Xenopus tropicalis: one gene and its partners. The protein of the gene in region 5 purifies or fractionates together with the protein of the main gene of each other region. This does not show direct contact. Links are inferred from orthologs where the notes say so. Each region holds a gene or a part of one and is shown on either strand. Other genes may lie near its edges.

Evidence for each region. The genes of interacting proteins can lie anywhere in the genome.
Region 1: the proteins of mrgbp (region 5) and meaf6 purify together in Homo sapiens (co-immunoprecipitation; 4 studies listed by BioGRID and IntAct, counting the BioPlex papers as one, with this or other methods). This does not show direct contact. The link is inferred for Xenopus tropicalis from reciprocal best matches to the Homo sapiens genes MRGBP and MEAF6.
Region 2: the proteins of mrgbp (region 5) and epc1 purify together in Homo sapiens (affinity purification with mass spectrometry; 6 studies listed by BioGRID and IntAct, counting the BioPlex papers as one, with this or other methods). This does not show direct contact. The link is inferred for Xenopus tropicalis from reciprocal best matches to the Homo sapiens genes MRGBP and EPC1.
Region 3: the proteins of mrgbp (region 5) and brd8 purify together in Homo sapiens (affinity purification with mass spectrometry; 10 studies listed by BioGRID and IntAct, counting the BioPlex papers as one, with this or other methods). This does not show direct contact. The link is inferred for Xenopus tropicalis from reciprocal best matches to the Homo sapiens genes MRGBP and BRD8.
Region 4: the proteins of mrgbp (region 5) and vps72 purify together in Homo sapiens (co-immunoprecipitation; 5 studies listed by BioGRID and IntAct, counting the BioPlex papers as one, with this or other methods). This does not show direct contact. The link is inferred for Xenopus tropicalis from reciprocal best matches to the Homo sapiens genes MRGBP and VPS72.

What each region holds. Positions count from the first base shown.
Region 1 is NC_030678.2:86,132,697-86,136,196, forward strand, and holds part of meaf6 (chromatin modification-related protein MEAF6), read right to left. Parts: intron 2,271-3,500; coding exon 2,155-2,270; intron 1,663-2,154; coding exon 1,575-1,662; intron 734-1,574; coding exon 688-733; intron 294-687; coding exon 101-293; intron 1-100.
Region 2 is NC_030682.2:22,943,313-22,946,812, reverse strand, and holds part of epc1 (enhancer of polycomb homolog 1), read right to left. Parts: intron 3,059-3,500; coding exon 2,911-3,058; intron 2,406-2,910; coding exon 2,244-2,405; intron 1,855-2,243; coding exon 1,765-1,854; intron 1,679-1,764; coding exon 1,530-1,678; intron 29-1,529; coding exon 1-28. UniProt on the Homo sapiens protein: Component of the NuA4 histone acetyltransferase (HAT) complex, a multiprotein complex involved in transcriptional activation of select genes principally by acetylation of nucleosomal histones H4 and H2A.
Region 3 is NC_030679.2:47,835,073-47,838,572, forward strand, and holds part of brd8 (bromodomain-containing protein 8), read right to left. Parts: intron 3,427-3,500; coding exon 3,377-3,426; intron 1,181-3,376; coding exon 1,058-1,180; intron 563-1,057; coding exon 482-562; intron 380-481; coding exon 315-379; intron 1-314. UniProt on the Homo sapiens protein: May act as a coactivator during transcriptional activation by hormone-activated nuclear receptors (NR). Isoform 2 stimulates transcriptional activation by AR/DHTR, ESR1/NR3A1, RXRA/NR2B1 and THRB/ERBA2.
Region 4 is NC_030684.2:137,929,488-137,932,167, reverse strand, and holds the end of vps72 (vacuolar protein sorting-associated protein 72 homolog), read left to right. Parts: intron 1-316; coding exon 317-434; intron 435-524; coding exon 525-701; intron 702-790; coding exon 791-935; intron 936-1,186; coding exon 1,187-1,565; 3' UTR 1,566-2,180; downstream 2,181-2,680. UniProt on the Homo sapiens protein: Deposition-and-exchange histone chaperone specific for H2AZ1, specifically chaperones H2AZ1 and deposits it into nucleosomes.
Region 5 is NC_030686.2:2,538,002-2,542,091, reverse strand, and holds the start of mrgbp (MRG/MORF4L binding protein), read left to right. Parts: upstream 1-1,290; 5' UTR 1,291-1,329; coding exon 1,330-1,468; intron 1,469-1,918; coding exon 1,919-2,040; intron 2,041-2,163; coding exon 2,164-2,245; intron 2,246-2,386; coding exon 2,387-2,461; intron 2,462-3,401; coding exon 3,402-3,586; 3' UTR 3,587-4,090.

The sequences.
Region 1 (3,500 bases), on a different chromosome or scaffold from region 5:
GAAACAGTAAAACTTCTAAATCATTTTTATTAAAAAATAAAAATAGTGTCCTTAAATACAGTTTTAGCAAATTACAGTTCTAAGCAATTTTTCAGCCAACCTGTGCCTATTTTTATTCTTGCGTTTCTTGTGACTGCTGTGATGGCCACCAGAATTGGCTGAAGAAGCTGCTTTTTGAGGTTTAACACCAGACAGGGAACCATCTAAATCCTCTGTATCATCTTGGCTAGGCTCATTTTCTTGGTTCTGAAAATCTGGAGAGTTGTCGCTCTCTGTTCCGCTGCCTGGCTCCCCTAAAAAAAAAAACAGAGCAAGACCGCATAAGATGCAGTCAAAAAAATCCACGAAAATGAAAACACACAATTCTATAACTGCAGCTAATGCATACATGGTACAGATGGGCTACCTACCATTGCCAACATAAAATGTAATGATATACAAACCCTTTTTAAAGTCTTATGATACTGATAAATAACAGCTCAAAGATTACTTTAACATTTCAGAGCATGTTGGAGTATGATGTAAGTATAAGGAAGGTTTTGGCAAAAAGAAAGAATAGTGGAGATCCTGCGCAAGACAGTATCTGAAAGTAAATCAGCAATAAAAGATGCATGACACATTAAATTATGCTCTCATCTCACTTGAAGACAAATACAAAGCAAAAAAACATATAAACATTACACTCACGTTTCTCAATCAGCTGGTCTTGAACACCTGCCAATGCACTGACAGCCTAAAGTGTAAACACAAATATTTGTTATAGAGCAATAAGGCACTTTCTATAGCAGCTTAGAATATAATATGAGCAAGTTGAACAGAAGGACTCGTCTAACTGGAGATTCAACACCTGAATGTGGCATTCCAAATTAATTTAAGGCACTGGCGTACATATGCACCCCACAGATTTTTTATGTCATAATTGAATTATAATCTGGTCCACAAACTTACTGGTTACCACCTAATTGGTCCACTTTTTATTATAAGTTGGACAGCACAGTTCTACATAAATGACCTGTACAAGAACCCAGAGATCCAAAATGTTTTTCGATGTGGCTATGCCCTAAAAAAATCTGTACATAGACTGAAACTGTAATTACCAAAACAAGATTACCATGCAAATGAAAAGATGGTCATAATCAGGCCTTATAAGTTGGCCATTCTAAGGGCTATGGCACACGGAGTGTTTAGTCTAGTGATGCCATCCAGAAGAAAACAACAGTAAACAAAATACCATTGTCCATCTGCCTGTTAGTAATTAATGAAATGCGCCAAATTGTAAACCCATGCAGTGGTGGCAGTAAGACTGTGGTATGAAAACTGTGCTTTTCATTAAAGAAGAACTAAACCTCCCCTAGACAAAAGCCCCCCATCCACTGCCTTCCAATGAGCCCCATCCTTGCTCCCTCCCCTTTGAGTCTATTTCAATGAAAAGTGTCTCTGTAAAGCTGACCTACAGATGCAGAATACCACAGCGGAGCTAGCTAGTCATTTTAGGGATTATAAAATAAAAGGTTTACTTATTCTTTAATGTTCATTCATTACTAACCATGAAAGCTTTCTTAAATTGTACTTACAGCAGCTGATGTTACGGAAGATTTGCTAAAAAGTCGTTCTGCTTCTTTGAACTTTCTGTTCCTCCTATCATTCTTACTGTTTGAATTCCTGCAATAGAAAATTTTGTTTACTAGATTCACATATAAAAATATATTTGGCACTATTCTCCAGCAAGCCCTTTCTCATAGGTATCCATAGTGTATGATTATTGGCAACCATACTGTTCATATTCATAGACAAAATTTTATGAAATTACATGTATTGCCAGTTTCAGAAGGAACAAATAACATTCTAAACTACAGTGCACTTCAATGCATTCTTTTTCTAAATACTGTCAGGAGTTCATATTTTGCTTCATATTGCAGCATAAATTGTAATGCACATTAACTGGAAAAAAAAGCATATTAAAGCATTGACCATAAATCCCAGATCTTTAATAAAGTGAGTTATAGCAGTAAATGTAGTTGTGGTTGGGGGACTACTGTAGTCTGTTAAACAGTAAGTGAATCAGATTAAGTTGTATTAATCTTTTCATCAAATTTCTAAAGCAAAGGGCATATAGGGTTAAACAAAAACAGAAGCTTACTAATCCAAACTTACTTTTGATTTGTTAGGTAACGGTCCCAACCTCTGATAATGTTACCATACATCTGTGTGTCTTCCAAGTAACTCCCTTCAAAAGCATAGATCTGCCGTTCTAAATTTGCAAGTGTCTCCTATGGAGAGAGACAAATCACAACTTTTTAAAAATGCTAAATATTTATGGACACAATATTAGGACAGTTGGTATATACACAGATTAAAAAACATTTGCAGGTCTGTTACATGATTCATATTGTGACAGAAGTCAAAGATTTAGGGGGTTATGTAATAAAGTGCACTAAGTTTGCCCAAGAGAAGTAAACCATAGCAACCAATTAGCAGGTAGAATTTACTGGTCACCTGTTTAAAAGCACACTTCTAATCTTATTGGTTGCTATGGGTAACTGCTACATCTTTTATTGCATACGGGGTTAGACTTTCTCAAGTAGGCTAAAGGGACCGATATTACACTGTAATTGCTTCTAATGTATCACCTCAGATACTCAAGTAGTTTCAATGGCAACCACATGTATCAGCATAAAATGCCCACCCACTCAGTAATTGGGTAATAAGGATCCATACAGTTCTAATTTACTGAACAGAAGCGTAGCACATAACAGTTTTACATGGGTGGTGTGTTGATTTTAACATATGATTCGTAAATATTGGTACCATATAGTATACAATTACATGCTGATGCATTTGTGAGACTTAGAAGCAGAGTCAGTTGACTTGTGGCATATGGGGCAGGGATCCAAATGCCACCTTTACCACTGCATTAAAACCTTGGTAATTTCCACATAGAACATGCTGCCAACAAAATGGATAATGGTGCTTTTCAAATTCAGCTCACCCCAACAAAGTAAAAAGCAGTGTTTTCAATTGCTGTTGTCAAAAGTTGCTCTCAAGTGCGTGCTCTTGTCCCAGGAACATTTGCGCACCCACTGCAAACTATCAGCAGTGTGCACACAAACTTTCCTGGGACAAGAGTGGCTATAGAGAAAAACAGGGTCTGCTTTCTCTGTAGTTACGCTACTGAAAGTTACTATATTTGGATCATGGCACATGGAAACAATATTGCATGAAAAACAGTGTTGTATTCGTAATTATGTGAATAATCACAGTTTTTTTTTATATGATGGGGAAACATTCAGTTAAAAGCAAGTTGTGAAGTCACCAAGATAAAACACTGCATTAAGACCCATCCAGGATAGCTGTTGGGACATATGACTGCTGTCCATTGATGGGGTAACACTTTTACGGATCCTTAAATCAAAAAGTTTGCTTAGCCAAGTACATAATTAATTGGTTAGAAATTTGTTTGACATTCTTGCTTTCCAACAACATAGTTTGAAAAGTACTCC
Region 2 (3,500 bases), on a different chromosome or scaffold from region 5:
GTCTGAATGGGCTCTGTCAAGGAGCACCCTGTAGAAACAAAGATTGGGAAATAGAGTTTAACCCTCAAATTATAAACAGACTGAAAACAAGCTTTGATTGCATTAAAGGACATGTAAAGCCTACATTTGCCTACAATGTCTATCAGTTGGGCACATTTTCCCCACCCAAATGGCATCATTTGTACTGCATATATCCCCTCCGTTTGCCAGCACCATCACATTTTCCTAAACCAAATAGCAGCTTTCACCTGGTGGCCATTATTTCTCTGATACATTTAAATCTGCAAACAGCCTACACACACAAAAACTCTTATTCAGCATACATTTCATCAAGGATACAGGCTCACACAGGCACAAATGTCTTTGATAAAAGTTCTGCTTTGTTTGAGCACTGTAATGGTAAAGCTGAGCTCAGGAGAAAACAATTGAAGCAGACAGCTAGAGCTGAGTTTCTATAGGAAGCAGCAATGCCATCTCTTCACTGGCTGCTAGACTGGGGGGCGTGTTTAGTAATCTGAGCATGTCCACAAGCCAACAGCCAAAGCAAATTCCTGAGGGCGGGGGCTGAGTGGGTTACAGGAGGAGAAGGAAATCTAAGTGATTAAGGGGATGTTGCAGCCTTACTATTAACCTCTGGACAACCAGTGTGGCAGGTATTGAAAGATTTCAAAGAGGCTGTTCACTGATTAAATTTGTGTGTGTGGAGTTTACATGTCCTTTAATAAGAGACAGTATTAATTACACTTAAGCATTCTGTTTCTAAAAAATAGGAAATAGAGCAATATTTAAAATCTTCTTCTAAATTAAACATAGGTAGGTGCATGAAACAAAGTTTTGAAAGTATAAAATGTAAAGGGATGTGGTGCAGTTCCAGACAAAATAAATGATATATGGTGCTTCACATTCTGCCACTTGCTCTCATGCCTAGCTGGCCCAGCCTTAAAGGACAAGGAAAGGTATTTTGACATTTTACAGCAAATATTTTCGCCACATTAGTGCAAGCTAGAACGCTATATTTGTTCTGCAAAAAGCTTTACCATATCAGAGTAAACAGCCCTAGAAGCTCCCTCTGTTTTTTTTGAGATAGTAGCTGCCAATTTAGCTTGGTCTCAGTAGTTTCCGTGCTGCAGCTCCAGCTGCTGGTAGCTTAGATTACACAGCACGGTTGGGAGGGGGAGCGAGGTGCACAGACTTGTGCCCTGCTCTGAAGGATTTTTTTCCGAGAGGAAGTGAGATAGCAAAGAACAAGTTTAAACAATAAAAAAAAAAGAATTTCTGAGTTTCTTTTGATAGAAGACTCAGTGCAGCTTTTATGTGAGTGAGGTGTACTTACATGGACCTTTCTGATTAAGCTTACTTGGTTTTTACCTTTCCTTCTCCTTTAAAAGAGGAGACACACATTGGCACAACCAGATTTTTAGGTAAATTACCTCATCTGTAATTACCTGGGCCAACAAAGTATATAGCCGTCACTACGGTAACCTTACAGATGATAAAGCAGCTATAATGTATTTAACAAGATATCTTACCTTCCACCACGTCCAACCCGTCTTCGCGCAAATCCAATACACTTGCGGGGAACAGTGAGAGTAGTGAGGCAGTATCTATAGCGAATTTCTCCAAGACCTCCTTCCTCAGGACTACACCATGGCCAGTTGCCAGTTTGGTCCAAATGTGGCTTGGAATTACAAGGAGGAAAACCTTTATTATTAGTATACAACAAACACCACTTGTCTGTGTATAGGCATGAGGACTGTTACTTACAGCATAGTAATTACAGCCAGCTTTCCTACGGAAAGCAAATGGACCATCTGGATCATTTTCTTCCTCAGCCTCTGAGGAGCCAGACATGACCTGGTAAAGAAACCAGAAAAAAACACCAGTGAAGATCATGCTCAACATTTCCTATTACTCATTGCAATGACTTATTTTGACAGCTTTCCTGAACATTTGCCTTTCACTGCTTTGTGAAGATCTTATTATTTCACTAGCGGATGTAATCGGGAATGTGATGTAACACTTAATAAAACTTATGCAAGAAACCGGTGTGTGCGTACATCTTTATAGACAGACTAACATTAGGTGTGCAACAGTTTTAGGAGTGTCTAGCCAATAACTAAAACCTTACCTCAAATCTCACCTACATTACTTAGCCCCCAACAACCACTGCATGTCCCCCAAAAGGACTGTCTCAAGAGGCACAATTACACTTATTGAAGCCTGAAATAATAAAAGCAGCATACCTGGGAGAGAGGTTCATCATCAGAGCTGGGAAAGTCATACTGATTCAGATCCTTAGCATTAAACACTGGCAGTGCAGCAGGACTTGTCTGTTGAGCAGCAGGTAAGACTTTGGGCTTCTTCTCATATTTTCTTTTCGGTCGAACAGCATCAGATTTTTCTTGCTAAAATGAATTTGAATGGTCTTAAAATATGAATTCAGTTATTTAATAACTGTTACAGACATCAGTCTATAATAATCGCCATTTATAAGATAGAACTGTGCTTTGCTTATGTGAACTGCTCACAATTAATATCCTCGCTTATCACTAGTTCCACAAAATGTGCCTTCACCAGGAAACCAATACAAAACATTATATATTAGCCACTATAAAGATATATTCTCTTTATACGGAGAAATAAAAATGGTGAGTGCATAATTCTTTTTCTCTATCTTTTTATCCTGTAGCTTCGATGATGTTGTATTTAAATTGTTTCCCGTGCTGAGTGGCTGTATTCTAAGGTCACGTTTAATTTGTCACAGTAGGACAAGGCAGTTAACCAGGTCAAGTGGTTTGCATATATCTAATAAATGAAACATGTTTCCTGAATGGTCTGTAAATTCATGAACCCACAAAATCCAGTATTAAGGTAATGTTAAAAACACTATGTGAAATAAACAAATCTTACCTTATTAACTTTAATATCTATTGTTTCTTTATGTAAAAATGGAATAGGAGAAATAGGCATGAGGGGGATAGTATAGGTGGGCTTCAATGGTTGACGATGTGCCATAACCTCTGATAGAATTTCGCCATTAAAGTCCCCTAAGTTATACCTGAATAAAGAGAGAAAAAAACGGCTACTAAAATAGTGCTTAATTTAAAAAAAATAAAAAAAAAAATCAATAAAAATGGTTTCAAAAATGTATGCTAACCCTATTTTGGCTATTTTTTCCCCCAAAAAATTAAATAGTATAGTAGTAAGCATTTAATATTAACAGAAGCCACCAGATGTACACTGTACCCTACTTAAACCGTTTCAAGCTGTAATCAGGCTGAATAAAGTTGTGTTATTGCGCTGAGGTGAATTTGCCTGTGCCAACCAGTAGGTGGAGCTCCTCATCCAACATTGTGCTCATATAGCTGGTTATGTTTAAAAACCAGTTACAAATCATATTGCACAGCACTCTAGAAATAATTTAAATAAGCAAGGAACTTCAGCACAGAGTCAGGCACCTGTAGCAAAAGCAACAAGTACAGGCTAGAACTTAAATGGGG
Region 3 (3,500 bases), on a different chromosome or scaffold from region 5:
ATGTCCAAATTGGCTAGCAGAAAGAGCCCCTAATAACCTGCCCTCAGTCCATGTCCAAAACTATTAAAGTGCTGGGCACATTGGGTTGCATGAGCAGAGCCCCTAGGAGAGTTGCCAACTGCTTTTCTCTTTTTGTGCCCTTTTCTCCTGAAAGTTAGATTTAATCCTGAAGTGCCTGTGTCCCTCCAGAGAGGATAATGGAGTATCATCAAAACTTGTAGAAAAGCCCAGATGGCTGTATCTTCCCAGTGTAAACTTCAGCTTGTAAAATATACAGTTGTCACTATCTACCTAGCAATTCCTTACAATTTTACCTTGATATGCAGCCTCTGTAGCCTTTCTCTTCATTTCTGCCTCCTCTTCTTCTTGCTTCTTTTTGCTACAGTGAACAAAGCAAAACTGAATTTGTTAGTAATGTTTTCAAAATGAGCCTACACTTACTAATGTCTGAATGTAAGTGTGCAGTATAAAGAGAACCCACGCCAAAGTCTCATTCCACAGGTCTTCCAGCTTGCTGTCCAAATGACCACTCTGAATAAGTTCTGCTTCTTTCTTCAGTTTCCTATACACACAAAGATGAAACTAATATAGTACATAAAAATAAAACAAACTGTTGGGGTTAAGGGAAAACTTCACCTTTCACTTCAATTTTGCTTAATAAAAGAAAACATAATCCAAAGCAATTTTTCAATATACAGTTACTATGATTGTTGTAAAGTTATTTGTTATTGTGAATGCTACTTAAGGCCTTTATATGTTCAAATTCTGACTCTTGAAACAATGTAGCAAAATACAGCTGATTAATGCGCTTGGAAAGAACTAACTTCTGCTACATTTTTCCAAAGGTAGAACTAGAGAACAGAAAATACTGCTTTTTCAATTGCAATTACAAAATAACTTTAAAACTATTTAACCTTGCTTAAAATGAATTAATTTTTTCAGAATTCAAAATAACCTTTAAGTGCTGCACAGTTAATCTGATTATTTTCCGTTTGTAACAAATATTGTTGCAAGGCCAGCAACTGTATGTATATGTTTATTTATTGTGCAACTTCACCTGTATTTCTCCTGAGTCTCTTTAATCATTTTTTTCAGTTCTTCAATTCTTTCAGCTGTCAGTTTCCGTACAATAACATCTTCCACAGTCTCCACTACTTCACCTCTTTCCCCTCTTTTTCGCCTGGACAGTAAATAAATACAATTGGCACAAACTTACTTCCTAGGTTTACATAAAGAAAATAACAACTATTGTATCATGTTCTTCTGCAAAAATGCAAATGATTCCCTAAACCAACAATGCTACTTGAAAATAAAATCCAGATAGAAGAATAGAAACATGAAAACCACAGATTGTCTTCTGTTAATCCCACATGGGGCGTATTCTCAGCAAGCCGGAAACCGTTTGCCGAGAATACACCCCGCTACTGTAAATTCAGCCTACCTGTGCCTGCACCCGAATTAATGGAATACGCTCGGTTGCAGGCACATGTAGCTGATATCCGCCAAAAATATGAAGATTTTTTAGTGGATATCAGCTACATGTACCTGCACCTGAGCATATTTCATTCATTCGGGTGCAGGCACAGGTAGGGGCCTTTTAGAGCATATGGCGCATATTCTCGGCAAGCATTTTTCGGCTTGCCGAAAATACGCTCCATACGCTACGTGTGGCATTAGCCTAAGCCTCTGGTAATTTCCCTTCTTAATTCAAACAGCCCTGTGTTTCTTAAAGAAACAGTAATACCAAAAATGAAAGTAATTAAAATAGAATCCTTTACTGTTGCCATGCACTGGTAAAAGCTGTGTGTTTGCTTCAGACTACTATACTTTATATAAAAAAGCGGTTGTATAACCATGGGGCAGCCTTTAAGGCTGGAAAAAAGGCACAGCTTACATAGCAAATAACAGATAAGCTCTGTAGAATAGGACGGTGTTAAACTTATCTATGCTATGTAACCTGCGCCATTTAGCCCTATTTTAGTTTGAATAGCTGCCCCCATGGCTACACAACAGCTTTGTTTCTATGAATTATAGTAGTGTTTCTGAAGCAAACATAAAACAGGGCAACAGTATATAATACATTCATTTTTTGGTGTTACTGTTCCTTTAAAAAGGTCACACTTGATCCATCCTGCCTATCTAACTACCTCTATCCCCGCTTCTTCTACCACTAACCTTTAATCTTCTGAAACATCTTGTCTTTTCTCTAATACTAATTTTCTCAGCACCCCCAATCTGCTAGACCCTATGCAGTCTGGTTTTCAACATGAGACACTAAGACAGTCTTATGTAGTGTTGCAAATTATCTCCAAACTGTCAGGGCCAAAGGACCCTATTCTAATCTCATTCTCCTGCATGTATCTACCTTTGATACAGCTGACTATCCCATTCTAATGCAAAGTCTCTATTCTTTTAACATCCAGATCAAGCAGCATTGTTGTTCTCTTCCTACCTCTCTAACAGCTGCTCTAACAAGTTCTCCCTGTTTCAGCTTAGTGTGTGGGTGCCCCGGGACTCTAAACATGGCCCATTGTTATTCTCCCTGTACATCTTTAGGAGACCTTATCTCCTAAATTGGCCTTAAATATTACTTTTATGCAGATGACACCCAGATATACATAGACGCTCCTTCACTAGTCACTGACATTCAGACCCAGGTCTCTAACTGAGTGCTACTGATTTTCTCCTGGATGAACCAATGCCACTGTAAACTGAACCTAGCTATATTAGTTAATGGTCTTTTCAACCAAACTTGTCCTTGTCCTCCTCCTTTAACCCTGTTGATTTGATTCACTGCCTGGGGTTATTATGGTATAGTCCTTTTCCTTCTATAATCATATTAATGCCAAGACATACAGCATATTTATCCGTAATAGCTCTGTAATATTGCAAAGATATGCCCTTTCTTTCACAAATAACAGCTAAAACACTAATCCATGCCACAATCCAAGTCTGCACACACCCCTTTGTATGACATCTGTTTTATTATTCTGGTCCCTGAGCAAGTGAAAATGTAAATAACTGCCAATTGACATGGAAAATCTTAGACAGTGCAAACATAATATAGAATAAGAGGCCTCACAAGTTTAGGCCTGCAGGCTAGATATGGTTATTAAAAGCATTTTATGGTCCTCTATGATATAACAGTTTTAATGTAGTCCGCCACAATAAGTATATTGTATGTCGGATAACTATATAGATAACTGATCATAAGGCAGGAAGGGCCAAACGATCATCAAAAAATCAAATTTAGTTAAATATAATTCTTCTAGCATTATACCACTTTGAATACAATATCACAACCGTTCTGCATTTTGTTTATAGCAAGCAGTGCCATTTCAAGTGTAAAATTAAAATGTAAATAATTTACACTCACTTTGGGGTTTCTGTAGTTTCCAACAGTTCAGAATATTGTGAGGCACAGTGCTGAAAAAAATAAAAAGATCAATTGAAGAAAGATTACATCAAAGCAGTGTATCTTAATAATATCTATTTTTTTT
Region 4 (2,680 bases), on a different chromosome or scaffold from region 5:
GAGAGCCATGCAGCCTTTCTTTTATATCTGTGTGTGTCTTGTACTTACTGAGAGCCATGCAGCCTTTCTTTTATATCTGTGTGTGTCTTGTACTTACTGAGAGCCATGCAGCCTTTCTTTTATATCTGTGTGTGTCTTGTACTTACTGAGAGCCATGCAGCCTTTCTTTTATAGCCGTGTGTGTCTTGTACTTACTGAGAGCCATGCAGCCTTTCTTTTATATCTGTGTGTCTTGTACTTACTGAGAGCCATGCAGCCTTTCTTTTATAGCCAGGCTATGCTACTTTTTTAATATTTCCTTGTATTCCCCAAACAGGAGCCAATTCAACTCCTTAAACCAAAGCCCAAGAAAGCAGATGCCCCTCCCAGCAGTGCAGCAAAAAGCCGCCCAGAAAAGCCTCACCCTCAGGAGACACCAGAGGACGCAGTAGACAGTGAGTATGCCGCGGGCAGTGAGCTAGGGGGTTTCCTATGCTCAGAATCCGATTGGCTCTCCTAACTAGTCTTCCCCTTTAAACTCTCAGGCCGCAAACAAATGCGCCAATCGACGACGGAGCACACGCGGCAGACTTTCCTGCGAGTAAAAGAGCGGCAGATCCAGTCCAAGAAAAAGAAGGGGCCCCACCAGGACCGACCGCTGACCCAGGTGGAGCTGCTGGAAGAAGCCAAGATCACCGAGGAGATCAACATCCGCTCCCTAGGTGCGTGAGTACCGCCACTCCCCGTCCCGCTCCGGTGCCCTCCCCCCCCCCCCCCCCGTGCTCCAATGGTTTCTCCCTTTCTCCCACAGAGAATTACGAGCGCCTGGAAGCCGACAGGAAGAAGCAGGTCCACAAGAAGCGACGGTGCGTCGGCCCCACCATCCGCCACCACTCGCTGGTCATGCCCCTCATCACCGAGCTCAACGTGAAGGAGGAGAATGTGGATGTGGAAGGGTAGGTGCAACATGGCAGCTCCTACTTTGTACAATTCCCTCTTCCCATTTGTTATGTGTAACAAGGGGCATCCTCAGTGGGCAAACCCATCAGTCATGTGATGCTGCCCTGTGTACATTACATTTCCATCCTTGATATTGAAGCAAACGCCTGGTTGTTAGGGTCAGTGACCCTAGCAACCAGATACTCACTTTCTTAACCATTACAACGTTTTCTCTTGTTGCTTTTCTTTTATGTGTTGGGGGCCACAGGCTGGATCAGGAGCAGACAGGGGACGGCGCCCAAGTTTCGTCCGCGGGCAAATGCTCCCGCACTTTCATAACATTCAGCGACGACGAATCCTTCGAGCGATTCTTCCCCAGGACCAAGCAGGGCAAGTTCTCAGTCCGGGACATCTGCCCCGTTACCCATAAGCCGGCCCAGTACCGAGACCCCATCACAGACATCCCCTACTATAACGCCAAAGCCTTCAAAATCATCCGGGACGCTTACAAAAAATACATCACCACGCACGGCCTGCCTAACGCCGCCATGGCGGCCGCTATGGGCCCCGCCCCCAGTTCTGCTGACGCCGCCCAACGCAACACGAGGCAGAAAATCATTATCAAGCAGAGCGTGCCAAGCGCCTGATACAGCGCCCTCTAGCGTCTGCCGGCCATTACAGCACTCTGAGAGAGTTATGTACAAAGGATTATTCCCATTGGGAAGCTGTAGAACATCTACAGGGGCCACATTGCTCCTCTGATTCCTGGAGTAGAAGAAATGGGAGGGGCCAGGGGGTTGAATTTCTTAATGAGCCCCCTCACATTTGGGGGGGGGGGGGCTGCTCCCCTTAGCAGTAATGTAATTGGCCGCCATTCAGTTCAAATTACCAAATGGTAAACCCCGCCCACCCCAAACACACACAGGGGACTGGGACACCTGCTTCCAATAGCAGCTAAACAAACAGTATGGGGGGTGGGGCAAAGGCACAGATGCAGTTACCAGGGTGGCTTTAACCTGACTGACGTACTGTATGTTATATAGGGCTGAGCTCTCTCTATAGGCTACTATCTGGTTGCTAGGGCTTGATTACCCTAGCAACCACACACCAGGTCCGATAACACACTATAAAAATTGAAGTCAGTTTGCATTTTGGTTTCCAGAGATGTTTTGTTGGTTAAATGCTCCTAGAGCACTGGGGGGGGGGGGGGGGGACTGTCTGTTATGTACATTATAATAAATTTGATTAGTAATTTCTGTGAATTGTAGTTAGTTGTGAGTTTTATTATGGCTTTTCATGCTGAGTAAAAGTACAGGGCGCCAGTGGCAGCATAGGGATTCCCCTGTACTAAGCACAATTCAGCAGGAACAGCCCCCTAAGTTTGCCCATAGCCTGTACAGAGAGATACCATAAAACTATGGCACATAGGGATTCCCCTGTACTAAGCACAATTCAGCAGGAACAGCCCCCTAAGTTTGCTCTTAGCCTGTACAGAGAGATACCATAAAACTATGGCACATAGGGATTCCCCTGTACTAAGCACAATTCAGCAGGAACAGCCCCCTAAGTTTGCCCATAGCCTGTACAGAGATATACCATTAAACTATGGCACATAGGGATTCCCCTGTACTAAGCACAATTCAGCAGGAACAGCCCCCTAAGTTTGCCCATAGCCTGTACAGAGAGATACCATAAAACTATGGCACATAGGGATTCCCCTGTACTAAGTACAATTCAGCAGGAACAGCCCCCTAAGTTTGCC
Region 5 (4,090 bases):
GTTCCTGCACTGGTACAGCTGGGGTGTTTGCTACAGAAACCCTACTATAGTTTATATAAATACCCCGCTGTGTAGCCCCGGGGGCAGCCGTTCCTGCACTGGTACAGCTGGGGTGTTTGCTACAGAAACCCTACTATAGTTTATATAAATACCCCGCTGTGTAGCCCCGGGGGCAGCCATTCCTGCACTGGTACAGCTGGGGTGTTTGCTACAGAAACCCTACTATAGTTTATATAAATACCCCGCTGTGTAGCCCCGGGGGCAGCCATTCCTGCACTGGTACAGCTGGGGTGTTTGCTACAGAAACCCTACTATAGTTTATATAAATACCCCGCTGTGTAGCCCCGGGGGCAGCCATTCCTGCACTGGTACAGCTGGGGTGTTTGCTACAGAAACCCTACTATAGTTTATATAAATACCCCGCTGTGTAGCCCCGGGGGCAGCCATTCCTGCACTGGTACAGCTGGGGTGTTTGCTACAGAAACCCTACTATAGTTTATATAAATACCCCGCTGTGTAGCCCCGGGGGCAGCCGTTCAAGCTGGAAAAAAGGAGAAAAGGCACAGGTTACATAGCAGTTAACTAGTAGATAAGCCCCATATAGTGGGTGTTTATCTGTTATCTGCTTAGTAACCTGTGCCTTTTCTCCTTTTTTCCAGCTTGAACGGCTGCCCCCGGGGCTACACAGCGGGGTATTTATATAAACTATAGTAGGGTTTCTGTAGCAAACACCCCAGCTGTACCGGTGCAGGAATGGCTGCCCCCGGGGCTACACAGCTGCTTATTTATATAGTAGCTTTTCTGTAGCAAAAACACCAGTTTTTTGCAGAGCAACAGCACATTATATTTTAATTACTTTAAAACACTTTAATTAATGTTACTGTTCCTTTAATACTAAAGGTAATATATCAGCTGGGTGCAGTTACCAAACGTGCCCACTGGGTGCCGCTGTGTAAGTGCAGCGCTTACTGTTCCAGCCTGATAGCGCTCAAAGTAATAACATGTTTGGCTGCCGCTGGCCACAGAGAGTCGCTATGGAAGCTGCAGATGCGCGCAGTGCGGTTGGGGAACACTAGGTGGCGCTGCTCATGTGTAACATCAGTCGTTCGCTGCGCTGTCGTTTGGCTGAGTGCAGTACTGCTGGTGAGCACTAGATGGCGCTATTGCACTAGGCACAGTGCCGCTGCTGGATACCGTTATGAGCGGAAGAGGCTGCTGCCCAATAGACGCCCCCTGTTGTGCTGCTATAGATATTGCGCTACAGTGCAACACCCATGGTGTCCGCTAGGAGTCGCTGTCCCCCGCAGTTTCCCCCCATTGGCTGCAGAGATGGGGGATTTAGAGGCCGGGGAAACTACTGTGGAAAAACCCGAGCCTCCCCCTGCCCCCCCCGCGGAAGAGCCGGTGCTGTGGAGCCCGGAGGTTGAGGTGTGTCTGTTCCATGCGATGCTCGGCCACAAGCCGGTCGGTGAGTGGAGGCCGCGGCCCATCCCCGGACTCGCGTAATCTGGGAACCCGGGAAGGGGGGGCTTCCGGTCCGGGTGGCGTCGGGACATGGCGGCCCGGGGCGGGATGAGGGGCTCTGGGTGTCTGTACCTGGGGGGGTAGGGGCACTATATCGGGCACTTTGGGGTTATTGTACCAGTGAGTGTAATTACACCGCAAAAGTAAAGTCCTGGGCAGTAACCTATAGCAACCAATGGGATCTTTGTTTCTATTGTTCTCTGCGGCTGAAAGAGAATCGCTGATTGGTTGCTCTGGGCTTTTGCTGCAGATTTGCCCCCTGTGTATAAATACATTCTATTTGGGGGGTATTTGGGCAGAACTAGGGGGAACCCTAATAACCATGTGACTACGGGACTCATTAACCCTTTGGCAGACGCAGGGCACAACTGACTCTTCTTTTTGCCCCTCGCAGGCGTGAACCGCCACTTCCACATGATCTGCATCCGGGACAAGTTCAGCCAGAACATCGGGCGCCAGGTCTCATCCCGAGTCATCTGGGAGCACCTGCGGAGCATGTACGATATGCAGGCCTTGGTAGGTGGCCCCGGGGAATGGGGGGGGCATTTCCTTACACTTCCAGGTGAGGTAGCCCCGCCCCCTGCTGTTTGCTCCACCCCTGCGCCCCCCTAACCTCCTGCCGTTACTTTCCCGTTGCAGCACGAGTCTGAGATTCTCCCCTTCCCAAACTCGGAGAAGAACTTCATTCTCCCGGAGGATCTGATTCAGGAGGTGAAGGAGGGTGAGTGTCAGCCTTTGGGTCCAGTTGCCCTCTGGGTACTGACCTAATGCTCTCTGTACCCCATTACTAACCTTGTGCCCCCCCCCGGGGCCCCCATACAGCCGGGCCCTAAAGGTCTGTGTCCCCTCCTCCTCTCTGCAGGGAAGGTGACGTCGGAGGAGGAGCTAAAGGAGGAAGTAAAGGAGGAAGTGGAAATACACGGCGGCTCGGATGAAGGTGGGAAATATTGGGCTGAGGAGCTTGCAATCTGTTATTCAGCTTCCCAGCCTCGGCCCCTGAGGAGTCTGTAGGGGCAGCGCTTAAGGGGGCGGTTCCCCTTTAAGTTAACTCTTAGCATGCTACACAATGATCAGTTCTAAGCAACTTTTCAATTGGTCTTTATTTATTTTTTATAGTTTTTGAATTATTTGCCTCCTTTCAAGTTTTCAAATGGGGGTCACTGACCCCGGCAGCCAGAAACCTATTGCTCCGTGAGGCTCCAGTTTTATTGTAACGTTTTTGTAACTTTTTTTTCTATTCAGCCCCTCCTCCTATTCATATACCAGCCTCTCATTCCCTGGTTGCTAAGGTAACTTGGACCCCAGCAACCAATTAGCTGCTAAAATTCCAAACTTAAATAACTAAAAAACTACAAATAATAAAAAATGAAGACCAATTGCAAACTGTCTCAGAATATCCCTCTCTACATCGTACTAAACGTTAACTCAAAGGGGAACAACACCCGAAGGTGCAAGTTTTGGGTCTTCCAGAACCGTTTCAGCCCATTTCCGGAACCAAAAATACACCTCTATCATTGTCTCTATTGGAACACGGCAGGGGGAGGGGAGACTTGACCAATTCTTCCAAGTGCATTGTGGGTAATGGGTGGTTTCTTGGTGGCTTCAGGGGGTCGGAACTTCATCTCTGTTGCCATAGTAACATTTCAGTCATCGATATCCTCATTGTCAAGGGGAGGAGCTTCCTGTACCTGTATAAGTGCATTTAGCAGGGGGCAAACAGTATAGCCACCTGGGGGCAGCAAGTTTAGCAGTTGCCCCAGGCAGATAACATAACCTGGGTGGGGGCTTCTGTGGGGTATATACGTGAGGAGGGGTAGATTTAAGGGGCAACAGGCCCTGCCAGATGCCTCACTCATGGGTATTTCCTTCCTCTGCAGCTTTTGTCAACTCTGGGAATTCTGGGAAAGGGCTGGACAAAGCCCCCGGGAAAGAGCGGACCCTCTCGGAATCCAGCTCCAAGGAATCGGGGGACAAGCGCAAGCGGAGCCGGCTCACCGAGAAAGTGCAGAACGCAAACAGCAACCCGTCCAGCCCGAACGCCAACAAGCGCAGGCGCACATAGGGGCGGGGCTGAGAGAAGGGGTGTGGCTTCCCAAGGGGTCAGAACCGGCCCGCGTGTAACTGAACTAATGGGTTGTGTGAGAGTCAGAACATTCTGCCCCGGCTCTGGGGCAGTAGCCAGTAGACTGTAGATCTCAAGGATGTAAATATTTTTAGGGGGTATGTGGGGGGGGGGGGTAGTGAATCTACATCCGCGGGGGCTGGGCAGACTGTGGCCCAATCAAACCCTCGTTAATCTACTGATGAATAAATCAATTCATTTCCCAACCCCTCTAATCTATTAGCCACGGGCTGACCATCTTTTTTATACCCCCCCCCCCCCAAAAATCAGCTTTGGAACGTTCCACTTTGCTCTTTCATAATGAATTAGGCACAGTCAGCAGCCTGGGGCCCCCCCAGAAGGTTCCTCCAGGGAATGGGGGGCTCTGGCTGTTCCCCACTATAGAGTCTCGGGGGCTGTCCTGCGAGTGATTCAGGGAGTTCAATGAATTTATAATGAACTTTC